Linked DNA regions of Oryzias latipes. The protein of the gene in region 1 purifies or fractionates together with the protein of each later gene. This does not show direct contact. Links are inferred from orthologs where the notes say so. Each region holds a gene or a part of one and is shown on either strand. Other genes may lie near its edges.

Region 1 (11,062 bases):
GCTTCAGGATGCCCTTTCTGTGAGTTGGTGCGGAAGGACACTGTTTAGTTTGTAGTAACACGCCAGAATCACTGCTTTCAGGAGAAGAGGAGTAGTACCCCGACTCCTGCTCTGCGGACTTCTTTAGGATGCCTTTACGGGGCAACAATGCTGTTGAAGGGCCGTGACCCTGAGCAGAGGCACCCGAAGTGCTCTGAGGTTCCACTGAAGCAGCGGTGCTTTCACTCCCTGCCTTCTGTTTGATGCTGTTTCGTCTCTTTAGGATGCCCTTGTAGGGCCTGGAGTCTGTGTTTCCATCGTGCACCGTCTGGGAGACGTTATTCTCCTTACGAGACCTTCGCAGGGATCTCTGTCGGACCACATCCCCGCCGCCAGCCTGCGAGCGGAGCAGACAGCGCATTTTGGAACCATTCTCCAGTAAAGGTCGAGAAGTGCGTCGCAGCCACGTAGCAACACTAGTCAGGCCTGTGGAATGTGTTGTTGGTGGAGGTGGCGGCGTGACGCTCTGATCAACCACACCGTTCTTTGTTTCACACAGTAATGGCTGCTGGTAGCCCCAGTTGAGCCACCAATGCCCAGCAATTTCTTCTATTGTGGCTCTGCGCTCAGGGTTCACCATTAACATCCAACGGATGAGTCCGCAGGCATCTGACGGAACAGACAGCAGAAAACCGGGTTAATGTTGTGTTTAACTTTGGCCGTGCGTGCAAGTTGTACGTTTCCAACCCTAAAACTCACCAGAGGGGTTGTTAGGTTTGCGATAGTTTCCAGTGCTGATCTGCTGGACCAGAGTTTTGTGGTTGTTTCCATCAAAAGGCATATTTCCATGAACCAATGTGTACAGAAGCACGCCGAGCGACCAGGTGTCCACCTCTGGGCCGCGGTATGGCCGTCCGTTGACGATCTCTGGGGAGGCATACAGAGGGCTCCCGCAAAACGTCTGTAGAAACTCGTCGCCGTAGAAGAGGTTTGACAGGCCGAAGTCTGCAATCTGCTCAAGACAAGGGAGCAAACGTTTCCAACATGTCACTCTCAGACAGAAAAGACTATTTCACTTTTTCAATCATTAAAACGTAGTTTTTGTTTTGTTTCCCACAGAGGATGCTCTATAAAAACAGAAAATCATTGTGCTTACCTTTACATTTCCCCTGTCGTCTAGCAAAATATTCTCCAGTTTCAGATCTCTGTGCACTATTCCATTCTAGAAAGAAAAAATAAGGAGATTGGCCTTAAGTTGCATACATTTCCCTCTCCTGGAGCTCTAAACGTTGGTTTCAGGAAGCTACCAGACAGGATTAGTTTTTAACAGAGCGAGGGCACATTCTTTGCAAATGTCAACGTCAGTTATGCTTCATTGTCCTCTGCGCTGCAGGGGGGCATTTCTTGGCCTCAAACGAGTTTGCAATGACTTTTCTCAAGAATTAAAGTCGGCCGTGTCTTAAAAAAAAAATTCTTGTTGGTTTTGCTCTTTTGGTCAGGAGTTGGAATCGAAAAGAAAGCAGAGTAGAAAAGCGATAAAATGAGGTGAACAAATGAACAAAACACCAGAAAAGACTTTAGCCATCCATAAAAGTGAAACACCACAGATGGTAGATGCACAGGGCCATTCACTCAGCAAATATGCTCGAGCAAACAGTTGGAATGCTGCAAAAAGTGCTGAACAGCCATGCTGCAGCTTAGGTCTGAAGAACAACTGGCTGTTGTGTGTTTGTGTGTCCTGTGGGGAGGGGGGGTCTGTTCCTTCACACCCTCATTAAACTGTGAGACCATGCGTGCGCCGAGTCCGGTTGGCCTTTCGCTCCTCCTGCAGCCCCCCATAGACGGTTGGTTACAAGCTCCGCCCCTCATGGCAGCAGCATGGCGGGCCCTGTATGCACGCCCGTGTGCGTGTATGTATGTGCATGTGAGGTGCCTGTGTGCGTGTATGTATGTGCATGTGGGGGCGGTGCGTCCAGATGCCAACCAGGAACCCCCTCCTCACCTGATGGCAGTAGTGAACAGCGGAAACGATCTGCCTGAAGAAATGCCGGGCCTCTCGTTCAGAGAGTCTCCTCTTTTCACAAATGTAGTCGTACAGATCTCCTCGGCTGGCGTACTCCATCACAATCACTATTTTGTCTTTGTTTTCAAACACTGAAAGGAAAAAAAAGCAGAGAAAACGTCCATTTGAGTGTTTGTTCCACAAACCTTCTAAGCAAATCTCACAACACGGCTGGCTGATAATCGTGTAGCTGTGATGCAGAAGCACCGATAATGGCCTTCTCATCAAGCGTGAGAGCCGCTGCTGGCGGACATGAAGCCACGCATTATCTCCCAGCGCTCAGCGGCGTGTCTGCGCTTACGTAACCAAGCACCATCTTCAGCACAAAGAGCTGCGTGACCACACTCAGGCCGTGACAGGAAGATGGTTTTCCTTTAGCGGGCATCAGGTTCCGGCGCGCAACGCAGGATGTGACGCCCAGCCATGAAACCATGAGACCCGAGCGTTCCTGAACACGCACCTTCATATATGCTGATGATGTGCGGGTGACACATGGAGGACATGATCTCAATTTCTCTGCGGATGTGGACCAGATCCTGCTCATCTTTGATCTTTTCCTTCCTGATGGATTTCACAGCAACCTTCAAAAGACGAGAGAGACACAAAGGAAATTCAATTTATAAACATAATTGACTTCTTTGGGATTCATTATGGAAAATGCACAACAGAAAGAATTCTTAAAAACCAAATATGATCATCTTTTGATTTATTGTCAAAGTGTTCCCAGTGCTCTTTTATTTATGATTATGCTGGTTTTAGCCTCCTGGGACATAGTTTCTGCAGAGCGGCAGGAGTTCATTCGAAATTCGCCTCTGAATTGTGGGTGGGACATTTGGTGGGGAGTAAGTCTGACCTTCTTTCCCATCATCCCTTTGCTTACACTCTCTCCTGCTAGCTTACAGCCCCCCCCCCCCCCCCCCCCCAAACCTAGCATTAGCAGTGCAACAAAAATGGCAGCCATAGCAGAGCCATCCAGCCGTCCAGATTCCAGCTCAGACGAGGAAAACAAAGACGTTCATGGATCTGTTTGTCTGACAGTGAAGGCATCAGAATGGAGCTCCAGGCCTGCCCATCGTATTTTCTGTCACAAATCCAATCGTTTTCAAACAGCCTTTTTTTTGTCTGCTCCTCAATTCACAACGAATTGAATGAAGAAATACTCAGAAATGCAACTTTGATCTTAATTTTCTTTATACATTTCCTCCACCATGAGAAAAATGCCCCAAAATCATTTTAAAAACACAATTTTCTTTGGACTGGGTCTTTAATTCAATTCAATTTGATTTATTTAGCCCAAAATCACAGCAACTGCTGTCTCAATGGGCTTCCTACCGGTAAACCAAATCTCTAAACCACTGAAGTCTGATATCAGCCATGTTTATGCTGCAGATGAGGTGCGTTTCAACAAAAGTCAGAAAACTGGACATTTATTTTGGTGAAGAAAAACAAACACATGCTAATTTAAGCCTGTGTGTTCAGCTCAACAGGCTGTAAACATCTACAAATAAGCCCCCATGGAACAAAAAGGCCCGTCTTTCTAAACGCTGACCAACTGTGAAGGGCGCTGGAGCGAAAACTGCTTTTCTGTTTCCAACATGGCAGCGGGGACTCCAGGTCGAGCTATGCCAGCTTCAAAATACAAAAAAAACCCTCTATTGTCTGCCACAGACTCTTCAAGGCCCACAGAGGAACACGTCAACCTAGATAACGGCCGCTTGCTCTACATTCACCAAGGCTTGTGTTTTTAAGCCGTGGGTGTCTATCTGGACCTTGGATGCCTGGGATTCCTCTGTGCGCCGAGTGCGTCATCAGTCTCCCCCGAGACGGAGGGAGTCATGAGGCGGCAGATGGCCCGGCCTGTGAGCCGTCCTCCTTTCCTGGTGTGTCTGAGGCCCTCACGGCTTTGGACACAGACGGGGACATGAGTGAAGCCGTATCATTTTTGTCTTCTGCAGTGAGTCAACGCCTGACGTGTATCCTCCTCCGGGGTCAGTGCCGTGGTCACACCGTACAGACCCACTTCCTGGTTCTGGGAGGCGAGGTTTCCTGCGTTTGTTGCCAGACAGGTTCAGGTCAGGTCTCAGTCAGGGGGATTTCACACCCGTGTGGGATTCCCTGAGTGCAAGTGCTCTTCGTATCCTACGGTCGACAGACGTAATCGCCACCCAGAGGGTAAAATGTTAGTATTTCACACTGACTTTCTATGCAAATATTTGGGGTTCATGGATTTTCTTGATAAATAACCCTGTTCCTATGGTCAAACACTACAGACCGGCTAAATCCTGCTGAGCCTACTTTTCCTCTGTGTGGTTGAACGCAGACAGCAGAACATGAAGATACCCACAAGAAATGTCCGTGACAAAAGATGTTTTCTGTATTTAGGATTAAAAAACTATACATTTACTTTTAGCTTTTCCCAAAATAGTAAATATACTAACACTGGCCTGTATGAGAAGAGCAGATTTAGTTAAAAACATTTTAAAAAGAATACAAATCCATGACTCATACGAGGTTTTTCTTATCCAAAAATGTCCTGACGATAAGAGCCCATTCACACCAGCTTTCACCGCCAATGAGCTTTCGTAAGTCACTATTTTTTCCTCAAGTCCAGACGCTGTTTACAGATAAGAGTTTCCGATTCTAAGGAGTCCATAAACACTGACACACTTTAGACCAAAACAGAAACCAAACCTGTGACAGTGAAGCTCTGTGTGCAACGTGTAACACATTAGTCAAGGCTGTTCATCACTTTCTTTAGACATCTATGCTGAATAGGTGAAAAAAACAACAACATTGGATTTGTTAAGATGCAGGTTTTTGTGATTGATTTCTCTCCCCTAAATGGTCATCGCCGCAGGATTTTTCCCAAACTTAGCACAAGTTAAGAAGTTCCCCACCAACACGGCTGTGTAGGAGGGGTGTCAGATCACCGAAGAGTACGTGGCCCAGAAGGGTCACAACACAAAATAACACACTACACAACACAAAACTGACGCAGAATCACAGCCATGGCGCTGAGCCCCTCCCACCACGCTGATGCAGACAAAGGAGCACACACCTGCGTCCTTCTCTGCACCTGTGCATGGACGTCTGCGGCGTTTCTGTGTGTCGTTGAGAGCCGCTGGGACAACAGGGCGTTCACAGAGGCAGTCTCAGACTCTAAGTCATGTCTTGTTAAAGCAGTGCTCATGGGTGACGGAGAAAAGGCAGAGCATGACCCAACCTGTAGGCCTGCATGCCTCATGCAGCTCCGCGGGGGGAATTCCCAGCTCCAACAGCCACTTTCCCTCCTTTCTGTTCCAGACAACACTTTCAATCAACGAACTTCCTTTAAATGGCGACTGTTGGGTCTTAGATTTTGATGTAAATTGTTGATATTGTCGGGAAAAAATAAAGTAACTTTACTTGGAAGTGTTAAAAGTGTTGTTCTGCAACACATTCAAAGTTTGTCCCGGTTTGACTATAATCAACTTCTATGAAGTCTCTTCCTGAAGATTTCAGGTTTAAAAGTGAAAGATTTCAGGGGTTTTTTCTAAAGGCTATTTAGTTTCTATCAAGGCCATCTCTCTCCGGTCTGTTTTATATACTTTCCATTTTCTCTTGGGTCACGTGGAACAGGATTTTACCCGACAGGTTCGTTTCCGGGACGCCGAGAGCAAAAACTACCCAACTTCCCTGATTCATTGCATGCTTTTTCCAACTGCATTTTTTCATCTGCTCCTGATTCACAACGATTTGAATAAAGAAATACTCGGAGATGCAATTTTGACCTTCATTTCCTTTACATACGTCCTCCAACGTGATAAAAGAACATGTTAAAAAACACTTTTTTTATTGGAGTGTATCTTTAATATACAGACAACTTTTCTCCATAACATTTTATTTTATAAATGCATCGTCAATAGTTTTGGGGAAGACAGCTAATGTTGGTGTTGCTCATAATTTCCTGTTATACAAAATTAGGAAAGAAGCAAATACTTCTTGGAATAATCTCATAATAATGGAATAATGGGTATTACTACTTAATACATTTTAAATCACAAAAACATTTTTTTAATCAAACTACTTGTTAATTTATTTCATAAGCAGATTTATGAATACATTTTACTGCACTTAAATTTATGAAAGATAAAAATGCAAGAAGAATACCTTCTACTCCTAGTTTTTGTTTTATTTAAGGTTGTCATTTTTTTTTGTCTTTTCTTGGTTGATTTTGATGTTTAAGACTGTTGCTGTGAAATTGTATAAATCAGGGGTTCAAATAAAAATAAATCCCTTTTCCCTCTGCGCATGTGCACACCAAATTAAAGTTGTTGATGCAAAACTTCCTGTTTGACCCGAGACGAGATGCTTATCTCCAAATGTTTGTGCAACTTCATGACGTTTTCCGTAAAGTGATGCTAAATTCGGCCCAATCTCGGTCAGATCTGAAACCGCCGCTTTTTCTGGACTGCAGACAGGCGAAAAGGTTCAAGAAAAAGAGCGAGAAATCCGGGCAAAAAGACGTTCATTGAACTCAGCACGCATTTTATTGGGTCTATTTGTCAGACAAACCTTTAATTCGTTTGTTCAAACTGTGATGTGGCAGATTGTGTGTCTTCTAAAAATAGCCCGGTGTCTTTAACGACAGGTGGCCGTTACCGGACGGTGACCCGGTGCTGCACACCGGTGATCGAGTCCTTACCAGGCGTCCCGATCTCTCCTTGGCTTTCTTGACTTTTCCGTAGGTTCCTTTGCCCAGCGTCTCCAGAAACTCGTACCGGTGCTTCAGGTTATGTTTGTGGTGGTGTCTCTTCACGGCTTGTTTCTTCCCCGGGGACGGTGGGACTGTCCCGGCAGACGCCGGAGACCGGCCGGCGGCGGAGATCGGCTCGTCCATGCTGAGGCTCTCCGCTCTTCACGACGGGACGCACGTGCTCTCAAAGAGCATTCCTCCGCGAGCTCTTCCGCTAACTCCTCTAAAACCTGCGAGACGGGTCAACGGAACCGAACATAAAGTTCCAAAGCGGGCCGCTCCGTCGAAACGTGTCAGCTGTTGCGGCGCCGCAGACTGAAGCGCCCGATCAGCAGGTAGCCTGCTTGAGGGCGAAGCTCCGCCCCCGACCGGCTACGTCACAGGGACCTCCTCAGCTGGCGGAAGGATATGTCATTCCAAGAAAAGAAGCGGCCTCACTTTTCGAATTTGCAACTCGAGATTCTCTTTTTGAATCTTTGTTGTGTTAGACTATTTTTTTATTTCCTATTGCCGTCGCAGACACACAAACGCTCACACACACACGTGTGCTTTTAAAGTCAAATTACACAATGTAATCCCATTTAGAGCAGTGGCGCCACCACGTGGCTAATTTGTGTCACACCATTGAACAAGAACTGGAAAAGCAGTCTGAGTGAATTCTACTCTACTGTAATGTCTGTCATTTACAGTCTTTTCTTTTTTTATTCCTATTTTTTTTAACACACTCATTTGACTGTTAGCAAGGAAATAAATAAATAACAACAAATTAACACAAGCTGCACTTAAAATACAGCAATGAAATGCAATTTACACATAAAGTATCGACACAATACTGTCCCATCAATATTTATATCAAAACATTTCAATGAGAGAAAAAAACGGTGAAGACCACAATTTAATTATGATTTTTTTCATAGCTGAGCTGCATGGTGGTGTAGTGGTTAGCACGCTTGCCTCACAGCAAATGGCCCTCGTTCAAATCCCGGGTGGAATCTCCTTGTGCATGTGGGAGTTTTCTCCAGTTCCACCCCCACAGTTCAAAAACATGCTTCGTGGGTTAATGGATGACTCTAAATAGAACCTAGATGTGAATGTTGTGACAAACAGGCTACCTGTCCAGGATGTACCCCAACTTCTGCCAAAAAGCAGAACCAAACTCATCCGCTGTAACCCGTTTGGGTCAAAGAGAACCAGATTGGCAGGAAATTTGCAATGTCCAACATTTGCTTTTTGTCAACAATAATTGAGCCCGGTCCAAGCTTAGCACTTTCTCAAGTCATGTATGTCTCCGTTCTTCCCATCTCTGATATCTTTCACTCCATTTTTGTTTTTTACTCACTTTTCTGAAGCAAGTGTTGAGCAGAAAATGCATCCAAATGTTTTCCCCTGTCCAAAGATGGTTTATCAGGGAATATCTGTCATGGTTTGAGTTTGTTGTGTCGTGTTTTTTCCTTTTAGTTCTTGTTCTGTCTTGTTTGGTTCTGTTTCCTGTTTTATTTTGAAAGGTTTCCTGTCTTGTTACTTGTGCTTTACTTCCTTTGGTCCCCATCTGCCCTGATCGTGTTCACCTGTCTTGTCTCTGCCTTCCTCTTGTGCTGGTCCATTAACTTCTGGTCGTGTGTTTAACGTCTTCATGTGTCTTCGTCCGTTCATGCCATGTTTCATGCCACGCCACTGGGTTTTTGTTTTGTCATCCTGCTCTGCAGCGCCTTTTGTTTGATTGTTTATTAAACCCCCTGGCCTTGGAACTGTTTGCCTCCCGCCTCTGCTTCTGGGTCCAAGCGGCTCTCGAGCCTCCCCCCTCACATGACAATATCTGCATTTACCAACGTGAACGACATTTTTATTTAAAGTATCACACAACAAAAACCTTCTTAGTTCTGGTTTATAATTTAATATGAGTTGTTTAAAAAAGGGAAAAACTTTATAAGTCTTTATAAGTGTATAGACAGCAGATTTTGATGCTATGGATCAATAAAATCACTGGAGGCCTTTCAGATGAGTGTAGATAAAAAAAAAAATACAACCAATTGTCAAATGGTAATGTTAAAAGGGAAAAATGAAATATTACTCAATATTCTTATAAAGTAAGAGTAGACATCTTCAATAATGTTTTGTGTTACGAGTAATATTCCTTTACAGTAAATCTATAAGTTTATAAATGTTACTTTCTCACATTTTCTCTACTTGACTAAAATTCAAAAAGGATGACAGGAAAAATAATCCAAAAACAGAAATCCTCTGGTTAGCTTCCTCAGACCCACCTAAAAACATCCAACTCTGACATGAGGGAGCAAAGAGCATCACAAACCCAAAGTGGGGCTGCAAGCTGCCTGTTTCATTTGCTGGATTCATCCGGATCAGCTTCTTCACACGTTGTCTCTTTAACCCCTAACCTCTCAGGGGCCCGCCTGTCAGTTTGGCAGGGAGAAGCGTCAGAGGCCCTTCACTCATGCAGGCAGAGCAACACAACGGCAAAGAGCAAACTGAACTCAGGAACCAAGTCAGTTCTGTTCAATTCTGGGAATAAAATAGTGTCCGTTGATTCATGACCTACCAAACAAAATTGAAAACCAGATGATCAGACAATTGTGACAGAAAGCTCACACGTCTGCACATGTCTTCATTTTCATTCAACTCTTTTTTTTAAATTTAAATATAGATAATAGATGAATGACAGACACCACTCTGTTCCCTAAAGGCGGATGAAGCTCATTCAAATGGTCGAATGTTTATGTAATCCCTTAAAACGCCACAAGAGGGAGCCCATCAATTTTCCAGCTGAACGTTTTCTGGAGCTGCTTCCTTATGGAGTGATATTTATGCCACCATGTTGCACACAAAACGTTCTCAGTTGCAAATGAAAGTATTAAATATCTGCTTTCAAAAAAATTTACTTTTTGCTTTCAATTTTTTGTCGGCTTTCAGGTTTTTTTTTATTTCAAGAAATCTATCTTTTAACCTTTTTTTGCTTTCAAATTTTTTTTTGCTCTCAATTTTTTTTTTCAAACAATACTTTTCTGTTTGCAAAACAGTTTTTTTGCATGCATTTTGTCTTATATTTTGCTTATTTGGTTCATTTTACTGTGTCAAAGCTGCCATCAAACGCAAGGAAATTTTTCAAAAAAGAAAATTAAATTTGAAAGCTAAAAAAAAAGTGTAAAAAAGTTTTTTAAAGCAAACAAAAAATAAATTTGAAAGCAAACAAAATGTGAAAGCAGATATTAAATATTTTCATTTGCAACTTAGAAAGTTTTGTGTCAACGTGTTGGCATAGATATCACTGCCTACATTCTGTCATGACACAAAGAAAATGCTTTCAGGACCATGTTTGGTAAATTAAATGCTTTCCTTAGTAATTGTCTGCTAAACCTGATATTGAATAAAGTTTAAAGGACAGTAAAACTTAGTTCAATAAGAATAAGCAAAAAAAGAAAAAGTAAAGGAACCTTTTACAGGCGTTGAATATAAACTTGATATTGTGCATTTGCCATTTTAGACCACATACAGCAGATGTATTAGTGTGGGCAGGCAAAGTATTCTTCAGAAAAATAATTGGGGAGTAAAAATAAAAAAGTCTAACATAGTTTTTTGTTAGAAGTGCATGGGATCCTAAAAATTAGACAGCAATCTAACATGATTATCAAAGGTCCGACTTTGGACGTGTTTCATGAACTTTAGAATTCTGATCAACAAAAACATCTGTCAGTTTACATGTTTGAGTCCATTATCAGTTTATTTAAAGTTTACAAACACATAGAGTCTAATGAACAAAAAAATTAGTAAGAATACTAATGAGCAAACGAATGAATGAATAAATGAATGAATGAATAAATGAATGACTGAATAAACAAATGAATGAATAAATGAACGAATGAATAAATGAATGAATGAAAAAATGAATGAATGAATGAATGAATCAATGAATTAATGAATAAACAAAGGAATCAATGAATGAATGAATAAAATGAACGAATGAATAAATGAATGAATGAATGAAAAAATGAATGAATGAATGAATGAATGAATGAATAAATGAATGAATAAATGAATGAATGAATGAATGAATAAATGAATGAATAAATGAATGAATGAATAAATGAACGAACGAATGAATGAATGAATGAATAAATGAAAGAATGAATAAATGAATGAATAAATGAATGAAGGAATAAATGAATGAATGAATAAATAAAATTAATAAACGAATGATTGAATCAATTAATGAATGAATAAATGAATGAATGAACGAATGAATAAATGAATGAATAAATGAACGAATGAAT
Region 2 (10,950 bases), on another chromosome or scaffold:
ATTATTTGAATACTGGATATAAGGAAGCGGTGTGCGAAAGAGGCCATGAAGTGAGCAGATCCCTGATCGTCATCCTAACGCCAGAAGATTTTGTGAGAACAGCAGGCAGTTGAGAATTAGCTTAAGCGTAGCCTGTGCTGTTACCAATGTCACTGAGACCAATAGAGCTGCATAGTGGTCAACACAAACCAGAGGCATCCAAGACAGCTGGAGTTAGCAAGAATAAAACTAAAAGTTTCAGCTGTTTGATTAGCAAGCCAAAGAAAAGTTCAAGTTACTAAACACCCGCTCCAATGAAAATGGTGTTTTTAGAATGTCATTTTAAGAATAGAATTCTGTTCCTGTAGCATTTGTCTGATGATAGAGTACATATAGAAAGAAAATTAAGCTTAAAACTGTATTTCTAAGTATTAATTTATTTGAATCCCTGTGAATTAGGAGCAGACAAAAACATGCACTTTGAAAAACATCATATTTGTGATGAAGAAAATATTCTGGGTGGGCCACAAGCTTCCTGCTCCAAGCTCTTAGCAATGGAGACAGGGAGGGGGGCGGGGATGCTCCTCACCAGCAATCCCACCCACAACTCAGAGGTGAATTTCTAAAAACAATAATAATCACGTTTTTTTTTTTTTTTGGTGTTGTGTTGTTTCTAAATGTTTCTAAAGCCTCTCCTGATCTTTTATCACTGTTTTGGAGGTAGGTATGTTCTCTTTTTTTCTTTTTTTTTTTGCATTTGAGCCCCTTTTTTCTTTAAATTTGAGATTCCCTTGTATTTTTTCATTAATGTGATGTAATCAAAGCAATCTTTATTAGTACAGATCTTTTATTGTAATGTAACACAAAGTGCAAACTAACAAATAAACAAACAAACAAATATAAATGACTGCCCTAATATTTCCCACCCCTTGAATCAGTGGAGGTGAATATTGGGCTCTAGGTGATACACTGAAATATGTAAATGCACTTGTGTCTAAATTAGTTGATTCAATTAGATGACCATGTGAAACTCTTGGTTTTTCCCAATGCTGTGATCACTGCCTGTCTAAAAAGATGGATGTGGTTTTCCTCATTGTGTGTCTGTGGGAGCAGGAGGAGGGGGAGGAGGAGGGGACAACAAGAGGGGGCAATGCAACCAACTTGATGCAATTTCTTTCTGTTTTTTGACCTCCCACTTAAGATGAAAGTGACATCCACAAACCTTTAAGGTCCCTGTAAACTAGAGGATTTAATGAGTCCCCCTCCCCCTCAGACTATTTCATTTTCCTTTTATTTCAGTCTAACAAATAAAATGAACCATTTACTTTGTTGTTCATTATGATTCCTTTCAAGCTTCTACATATTCTGCTGCTTTTCCATCTTTACGTCGGGTTCTGGACGCGTTCTTCACATTGACATCACATAAATTCAAAGCAGAGACATTGTGGATAATACTCATCTGAAGCCACATTGTTGAAGTGAGACAAAACAAATCTCTGCATAGCTGATTGTTAAAAAATTAAAAACATTTTCTCATCACTAGAGATCAGCTGGTCACTTTATTGTGGCTGTTTGTGATGGACAGTCACAAATCTCACATCTTGTTTTGTTTTATTGGTCTGGATGTTGAATGTGCTCATGTCTTTCTGTTTCACGGAGATGGCAGATTTATGGAGATTTACAAAATAAAAGACAACATTTTAAATGGTTTTTCTAGTGCATCAAATCATTTTGTTTTTTAAACATGTGCTTTTGTGACACCTGTGTTTGACTTGCTCCACATGGATTAAGGTCTGTTTCTCTGCCAAACAGTGATTTCCTCATCACTTTCCCCTCAAACACTACTAACATCAGCGCATTTTAGGCCAGCAGCTTCCTGACACTGACGTTGGTGTTCCACATCCCCGTGACTCAGAAGAACCGCAGCAACTTCCCACTACAACCTCTAAAGACTGAGCATCAGCTGAGCTGCTCCTCGGTGTGTCTCAGCCTCATGTGCACAACATCTGCAGACCGTAAATAGGCTCTTTGCAGTTAAGCCTCAGTGACACATAGAACAGCTTGCTGATGGGAGACTGTTTATTTTTGCACATTGGCTCATGGCCATTATTTCTAGTGTTTGTTTTGAATAATCATTCTCGCTGGAGTCGTTTTTCTGGACGTCGGTGGGTTGGTTGCATCAGGCATTTACAATTTTCGGGCACGTTTTCATGTGTGATGACAGTTCTGTGCTGAAGAAAACAGCACTGAATGCACATTTTATCCCTGTGACTTGCATGCAACAAACTAATAGCACACTTCCTACTGAATATGCACACTCCCCTGCCAACAATTTAGTGGAAAAAAATAAAATAAAAAGGGAAACTGTTTTTAATACAGGTCGATGTGGACCTCCTTTGTGCTTGAGTCTACATTCCAAGCTCACCAAGTGCTATCCATCTAATCACTGCAGGTGAAACTGGTTTTATTTTTACTCTTTGAGCGTCGTGTTTTCTTTTAGACTCAAAAATAACCTTGCATATGACAAAGATGGAGGAGAGATTTTTGGATGCACCCATGCATGGAACAAAGGGATCAAAAGGGGAAATACCTGTACAGTTAAAGTTTGTTTAGTTTGCAGGAAAAAAATCCCTTTGCTTCCTAAAATGAAAAGAACAGGAAACAAGTCCCCTCCCATTTGAAAGACTTTGATAATAATAGAAGTGCGAAAAAACAAGATGTCTAATGGAGAGATATGCAACTCAGTCTTTACAATGAAACAAACAGATCACGATGTGTTTTAGCCAATATAACAAGTATTTTTTTCCGTGTTGGTACCCATGTAGGTAAAAAAAATACATATATACAGTATATATACATATTTTTGTTTTGTTTTGTTTGTTTGTTTAAAACTAAAAAGGCAATGGTTTGTGGTTTAAAACATTTTCGGTTCAATAAAAAACCTTTTCTTCAAGTCTATTTGTAAACATTATCATACATTTTAGAATTTGGCTGCATTTAGCCTACCAATAAACACCTTTTTGTATAGGTTACCTTTACACAATGACTATGACGTGCCGTTACTTTTCATAATAAAATACACCACTATAAAAACCCGGTATAACATATTTTAAAATCCATTCAGAAAGAAGTAAGGTGCTACTAAAAGAAAGCAAGAAACTTATTTAATGAAACCTGAGAGTTGAACCCCCAACAGACTGCCTGGTAAATGACCCTTAGACCTGTAAGCTTTAAAGATGTTGCTTTTATTTTGTTCATTTATAGTTGGCTAATTAGTCAAATTCCCCCCCCCCCCCCCCTTCATTTTTGGGGGAAAAATATTTAGGTTAAATTTTATTCTTTTTTTGTGAAGTTTTGCGGTTTGATCATTTCATTTGTTGTTTTAATGTCTCTAACATTTCAATTTTTTCTTTTATTTTTATTTAGCAGTGATGCATTTAAAAATTCTTCATTGCTAATTTTGTTCCTAGGGGCTACCGTACATTTCCTCCACTTTCCTCATATCTGCTGATGGTGACGTATACTGCAGAGCCTGGATTTTAGTTCTCGCGAGATTTTGTCAAACAATTCAGACTTCTTTCGCTCAGTTCCTCCTCCTCCTCAGCCCTCCCTTCCCACGCCCCAGTGCGCCCGTGGGATAGTGGCACTATAAAGTATATCCTCTCTCGGAGAAAGATAAGAAGCCCGAGACAGGAGGGGGATGAAGATGGCGGACGCCAAGCAGAAAAGGAATGAACAGCTAAAGCGATGGATGGGCTCGGAAACGGACCAGGAGCCTCCTGTTTTCAAAAAGAAGAAGACGAAGGTGAAGTTCGATGATGGCGCCGTGTTTCTGGCCGCCTGCTCAAGCGGCGATACAGAGGAGGTGCTCCGTATGCTGGACCGGGGTGCTGACATCAACTATGCCAATGTGGACGGCCTCACAGCGCTCCACCAGGTCAGTGCTCACCTGCTGTCTCCGTTAAAACCAGCCTGCAGCCCCTGCCGCTCTCAAACAGGGCTTTACAGCATGCAACTGCTTTCCCTGGAACACCTGTCAAGTGGAAGCCATTCTCATCCCGTTGTTTACCTACCGAGCCCTCTTCCTTTCGATTCGACGCACCAGGGAACAAGAAGCTTGCGCGGGGGATACCCCACAAACAGCTTTCACACACCTTAGCGAACACACCTGACGATTTTTGGCCAAGTTTCCCTCCAATGAATCCCTCTTTTACCTCTAAAGCGGGTCTGTGTATTCCCTGCTCTGGGTGTAGTCTAATTACAGTACATCATGTTAAAATTGCTACATGAAAAGCCCATTTAAATGAAACGTCAGTGTTTAATTTCTTGTCTGGTGAAGTTAAGTAACATAAATTAAATTTATGTCATAAAGTATCGACTTTAGTTACAAACGTTTCCATTGATAGACGCATCCCTGTTTGGGATTCTTGGTTTTATGGCAGTGGACGGCTGCTAGTACTACCTCACCTGGTTAGCAGTAAAAGTAGTTTTGTTGATAACCCCAAATCACAAATGTGGCTAGCCTTTTAGGACAGCGCGACAACCTTTTTTTCCTTAAATTGTTCTTTTGAAATAATCCCAAATTAGTTAAAGTCAAGTTTTGCTCAAAGGTTAGTCCAAAATCGAGCTAAAGAAAATGCTATTAAACTTGTATTTAGGGTTAGCTTAAGGCTGCTAGCATGCTAAGATAACTTGTTAGCTGTTGGACTTCATCGTCGCTTAATTCATTCATTTACACGAATTGTTTTTTGTTCTCTGAAATAGGACTTTTAATGACTTGTTTTTTTAAACAAATACTACCAAATACTGGTGTTTGGTTTGTTGGCTAAACCGGAAAGTCAGCCGTACCGAGCTGAGCTATGTGCCCGCTAACTACCGTAGCTTCGCTCCGTAGCTTTGGTGCTTACTGGATCACCAGACTTTGTTAGAGACTTAAGCGGTCGGATCGATGTGTTGGTAAGCCCCAAACAAATGACAGATTTAAATTCAACCTTTTAACCGACGATAGTTTTTATTTTTTTATTTTACCCAGTCATCACTTAATTGTACTAAGGAAAAAAGCGTGTTCTCAGAACAGCTATTAAGCTTATTTGTGCCACTCATAACATAATAAGCTAAGTATAAACTCTTTTTTTTTTCTTAGTAAAGATGCCCATGATCTACTATAACGACACTCCATGATCTGTTTTTTTTTTTTAAACAGAGAAAAAGGGGTTATTTTGTTTGTGTGCTTTTATTTTCGTAAGTTTGGCTGTCTACATTTTGTTTGTTTGTTCTAACATTAGGGACAGTCTGAGCTCACATTAATTGTTTAATGCTTGGTCATCAGCCATGTCATCACATTGCTCACATTCACATGTCTGGTCATAGATAGCTGCTCTTTTTCTGTTCTTTCTGTCAGCATTGTCCATATGGTAGAAGATTGCCAAAACCTGGCTTTACCTCCAGTCCCCTTTTCTATCTGATGTCATCGATGCTGCTAGGTGGACATTGTTTTATTTTTTGAAGTCTGTAGTGAGTTATTGGTTTATAACTTCAATAGAGCAAATATGGGGGCAAGCTGCTTTAAATCTGTGTATTTCTAGCAGTGAGAAGTGGGTGTTATATGCCAGCATGTGATCTCTGAGCAGTTAAGCAATAATAATGTGGGATTTAAAGATTATCTGTTCTTTTGCAGTCCAGGTTGGTTAACAGATGTCTGAGACATTATGATTTCTAACGTTATACCCATTAAAATCTACAGAAATGGACATGAGATACTGGCTTTTGTCTTATTCTGTCGTGATGGTTCTCTGCATGGTGCAGTGGTGACCCTCCCATTGCTAGTGACTGGTGCGTGGTTATAAATAACCTGTCCCAAGTTCTCCTAACTGGGTTTCAGGAGATGATACTAAGTTTGGATATGACTCACAGTCTGAAGCTGTGCTTTGTGCTGAAGCTCTGATATCATTCAGGCCAGAGGTTGACTTTGTTTGTAAATCGCAGACAAATCCAAACTTAAAAAATGTTGTGTTGCTGAAAGGCCTGTAAACATGCTTCCAAGCTGCTGCCCTGGCGTTAAAAGCCAACGGTTTGAGCCGTTCCCAGGCTGAACACTAACAAAAAGGATGCTGTGCATCTGAGATCTTGGGCATACTTGCCTAAAGACCCATTCCGATCCTCTTTTAATCTATTCTAAAAACATTCCCACTGGGTTTTCAGTTATATTTAGCCAAAATCCTGTCGTTCTCTAGGACGTAATTTCTACAGAGCGGCAGTAGTTCATTAGAAATTGGCCTCTGCGATTTGTTGTTGACCGTTGCTGAGAGCTCTCTGTTTATGCACTCTCCTGCTAGGTTACAACCCCTAACACCGTCAATCTAACATTACCGGTACCAGAAAAATGGCAAGCAAGCTATCTAGCTGTACAGTTTAGAGCCATGTTCCTGCTCAGACGAGTAAAACAAAGACGGACGTGGATCTATTTGTCTGCAAGTAGGTGCATCAGAATGTTGCAGAGCCGGGAGCTTGTAGTGGATTTTCGATGTTCAAAAATTATCTCATTTTTTTTATTTTTCAATGAAATGTTTTTGTCTGCTACCAATTAAAAAAGATTTGATTAAAGACAAACACAAGAATGCAACTTTAGACTTGTTTTTTTTTTTTTTTTTTTTAAATATGTGTCCTATTATGCGAAAAAAATTCTACAAGAACATGTTAAAAAATAAACACCAAAAACAAAATTTTAATCAGAATGGGTCCTTAAAACCCAACGGTAGAGGCCAAACCCAAGCTGCACACTAACAAAAGGATGCTTAAGACTTGAGATCTTGTGGTCATACTGGCCTAAAAGTCCAGATTCCTCTTTATTCTATACTTGTTAATAAATTATTTTAACAGTATTTTCCCCAGTTTTCAAAGGAAACATATTTTTTTGTTCAAAGAGTAGGTCGGTGTTACTGAGTGTGCTTTCAAGACCTTAGTTAGTTTCAGATTCAATCAACCAAAAAATGTCAAACGTCTGGTTTATATCGTTTCAAAGGGGAATATCCCCTCATTGGTGTGGATGGAAAAAAAGATGAATGGAGATCGGACATTTTTGCTTTAAATTTGTCCATTTTCAGTAAAGAAATGATCAACATTTCCTGCACAAGTGAACTGAAATACTCTGACTAGCAAAGAAAAGGTGACATTATGGTCATTTAAGAGCTAATAATGAAGATAATTTGATAGAGATAACCGAGTCAAAGAATGTCATTACTAAACTGTAACATTGTTGTGAAAAAATCATTAGCGACATAGGAGGAAACTGTAGAAGCTTTTTGCATTAGTAGAGATGAAGAGTTGAGCATCATGCCATGTGCACAAACATTTTCCAGAAGTTTGAGCTGGAAGCTAAGGCATTCTTCTCATGACTGTCACTGGAAACCATAGCAAGGAGAGAACAGAGGAGACATTCCTCAGCTGTCACCTAAAGCCCTCCCTTCCACGCAGGCTTTTGGCTTTCTATCCGTTTACAATGCCAAGGTCCAGCATCATCGGTGGAACGGCGCTAGAAAACCTTGAGTCTCACTTTGGAAAATCCTCAGACTAACCAGCACCAGAACGGTTCTGCTGGTGTCATAAACTCCACCAGTGATTCAGATTCTGATGACACGGCTCGCTTAGTGTGAAAAATATATTTCTGTTCCCTGTTGACATTGTACTGTTACTGTAGCCTTGAGGTCCTCAAACATTATCTTGCACAGTCTCCATGGCAACGGTTGAAAGGGTTGGTAGTTGCTTGTATTGGAGGATTTGCATGGACATTGTGGGAGTTGCATAACGGACTGCGAGTGGTGAGTGTTTGGCTGAAATGAGAGTCGGCCTCAGCAAATCTGTAATGGAACAAATCGCAGGGCACGCGGCGGAAGATGTCCAGATTGGCTGCATTTCTTTTGATCCAGGTCATATCAACACGTTACGTAATTGCCGTAGGTCTCCTCGCAGCCTCTGAGGTTTGTTTTGACCATGAGAGGAGCAGAGAAACAACAACTTTGACGTGTCCTTTTCCTCCTGATAAAGCCTGCATGACATCCACTTATAAGCCCCCAGAGCTGCCTGACTGCTCCAGATAGGAAACGAAACCTTACAGTCCCACATGGATAGTCAAATTAGCTTAGACTGCCATAACTAATACTATTGCATCATCTTGACCGTGCAGTTCAATGCTTTTTTTCTTTTCTCATTTGTTCTGCAGATCTTCTGATTTATCAGGCGTTCAGGTCAGTGTTCTGCTTAGGAAGTCCAAAAGGGAAGTCACTGCAAGAATGACACTTCGAATTATTCATTTTTATGCATAAAATATTAATATGAAAGCATAAAATTGAATTCATATAGTTTTCCCTCTTTTCTTGGGGATTGAGACAAAATGCGATGCCTAAATCTATCATTTAATGTCTAGAGGGATATACATTTATAAATGGGCTCATGAAAGTGAACTGTAGTCACTTAGTAGAACCTTCTGTTCAATTTACAAATGATCTACGTAATAAAATTTAGAGTCAACACATTTAAGGTAAAGTTTTGTAAGTTTGTAGCATTATTTAACACTTTTTAAAAATATTGTAGTGGTTTTACTTTAATATTGTGTGTGCTTGATCCCCTTATGATACTCTTTCTGTTCTGGTTTAAACACATCACAGCTATGTGACGATGAACAGAAAGAATTGGCTCCTGGAAACGGATTTGGAAAAATCTTTTGTTTATTTTTGTCCCTGTACTCCTAACAAACCTTTCTTAAATTTTACTCTAAAACTCCCAACTTTTTTGAGGCAGCTGCTATTTCTATCACTGTTCTTTAGTGATTTGAAGTACAGTCTTTTTTTTCCTTTTTGTAATGCTAATGACCAAGTAAATGTGACGTATAACATTTTCGATACATGTGAAACATTATTAATTTCACATAAATCCAAATTTAATGCCATTTACAATAGGGGGAAAAAGGTAATGGAATTCCTGGTGTGGTGTTGAGAAAAAGAGAATTCAGAAATGATAGTAAACCTGTGAACAAGTTGGCTTTCCGGTTCAGCTTAAGTAATTTATAATTGATCTGATGCATTTGAGCAGCATTAAAATCTCAAAGAGTGAACCCTGTGAAAAAACAAAATTATTTTGTTCATCCGGTAACCATAAAAGAACCAAGGAGAGACTTTAAGAAGGTTTAGAGTGAAATGTTCACAACATTTTTTTGTACTGTCGTGATTTAAAAAAAAAAAGCCTTTTTAAGCATTAGGCACCACTTTAACTGTGATTGGTGAAGTCCCATTTTACATGAGCAGCTATCTCCTGCTCATGATCTGTTGGAGTGAAGGAGCTGAGGCAAAAGGCAAAGCTCTCGATTTCCCTCACCCCAGTCACCAAGGAGGAGCTCGGAGTTGAGCTTGTTCACATTTAGAGAAACCTGTTGAGGAAGCTTGGCCATCTCTATGGGATGCCTCCTAAATGACTCCCTAGAGAGGTATTCGGGGCTTGTCCCATTAGGAGGAGATCCTAGAAAGTCCCCAGACAGTCTGGAAGAAGAGTTGGTTGAGGTGGCTTGGGAATCTCTTTGGGCTGCCTCCTGAATACCTCCCTGGGGAGGCATTCTGGGCATGTCTGACTAGGAGACCCGGAGGGGAAGTCCTGGGACCTCCTGGAAGAAGAACCAGTCGACATGGCTTGGGGGATCTCTTTGGGATGCCTCTTGAATATCTCTATTGGGAGGCATTTGGGGCATGTCCAACTAGGAGGAGACCTAGGAGCAGTCTCTGGATGGCATTGAAGGAACCATATCTCTCAGCTGGCGTGGGAGCCCCCTGGGGTCCCCCTGGCAGAAATGGTTGAAGTTTTTGGGTGGATGCATGCATAAAACTTGCCAGCTGCTCATAAATGTCTAATGTAATGTTGAATATATTTGAATGTAGCTAAATAATTCATTGTCTGGAACCGACGGTGTCTAGATTTTATTGTTCTCGTCTGACTGGAGGAGTTTACCCCCTTTGTCCTCTCAAGTCTACCCATCCACGTCCATATCTCCCTTTGTTTTTGTGTCCAAGCATTTTATAGCTTAGTATGTGTGATGTTTGATCGCTAATCATTACTTTCCATTTTTAATACTACATATTACTTATCCTGTGATTTGAATGAGGCACAAATAAACGGAGTGGTCTTCTTTAGCAGAAGCAGACGCAAATGGCAAATGTATGAATTTAATCAGATGCGACAATGACCTGATCATAAAAGCATCCATTGTCCTTTTTCCTGGTGTTACTAACGCATTTATACTGTAGATGCAGACGTCTGACGCATTTCAGTCGACGCTATAACTTGAAATGCGTCTCGTCAGACACCTTTTTCCAAACTGACTGCAACCATTTTGGTGAATCACTTGCATTTTTTTAACCTTAGCATACCTCATGACTGACGTTAGAAATGTAGCTCTGCAACATTTATAAATCATTTGTACGTAATTGTCAGACGTTTGCAGTTTCATTCCACTCTCGAGCAAAACTATAATTAACACAAGGAAGTTGATGGCGTGTTTACGTCAACATGCCTGGTTACTCTGTTTTCTTTAATCGCTTTGATTTTGATTTGATTAGAAGTTTTGATTTGAAATGTTTTATTTCAAGCAATCGAATAAGAATTGTACACAAACATTACAATCATCAGTGATACATTCATACAATGACGTATCAAACTTAATTGGACAGCATAATTTAAAAAGCTAATAGGCTTTCTAAAAATAGCACATTCGATTTGAAATGCTTTCAGTTTGCACTGTTAATTCTTTAATACATCACTTTATGTTTTTATGTTAAATCTATTTTTTTAAAATAGTTTTTGTGTTAATAATTTTAAAAACTAAATATCCTGAGATCTGATGCTTTTGACACATTTTCATCTTGTGTTTATTGTATATTTCCAAACTCAAATATTACTGATAAAAAAATCTTTTTTTCTCCTAATGTT

Evidence for each region.
Region 2: the proteins of nuak2 (region 1) and ppp1r12a purify together in Homo sapiens (affinity purification with mass spectrometry; 3 studies listed by BioGRID and IntAct, counting the BioPlex papers as one, with this or other methods). This does not show direct contact. The link is inferred for Oryzias latipes from reciprocal best matches to the Homo sapiens genes NUAK2 and PPP1R12A.

What each region holds. Positions count from the first base shown.
Region 1 is NC_019863.2:2,245,248-2,256,309, reverse strand, and holds the start of nuak2 (NUAK family SNF1-like kinase 2), read right to left. Parts: upstream 7,121-11,062; 5' UTR 6,921-7,120; coding exon 6,726-6,920; intron 2,623-6,725; coding exon 2,502-2,622; intron 2,134-2,501; coding exon 1,982-2,133; intron 1,202-1,981; coding exon 1,136-1,201; intron 992-1,135; coding exon 739-991; intron 649-738; coding exon 1-648. UniProt on the Homo sapiens protein: Stress-activated kinase involved in tolerance to glucose starvation. Induces cell-cell detachment by increasing F-actin conversion to G-actin. Expression is induced by CD95 or TNF-alpha, via NF-kappa-B.
Region 2 is NC_019881.2:19,249,452-19,260,401, forward strand, and holds the start of ppp1r12a (protein phosphatase 1 regulatory subunit 12A), read left to right. Parts: upstream 1-3,568; 5' UTR 3,569-3,679; coding exon 3,680-3,916; intron 3,917-10,950. UniProt on the Homo sapiens protein: Key regulator of protein phosphatase 1C (PPP1C). Mediates binding to myosin. As part of the PPP1C complex, involved in dephosphorylation of PLK1. Capable of inhibiting HIF1AN-dependent suppression of HIF1A activity.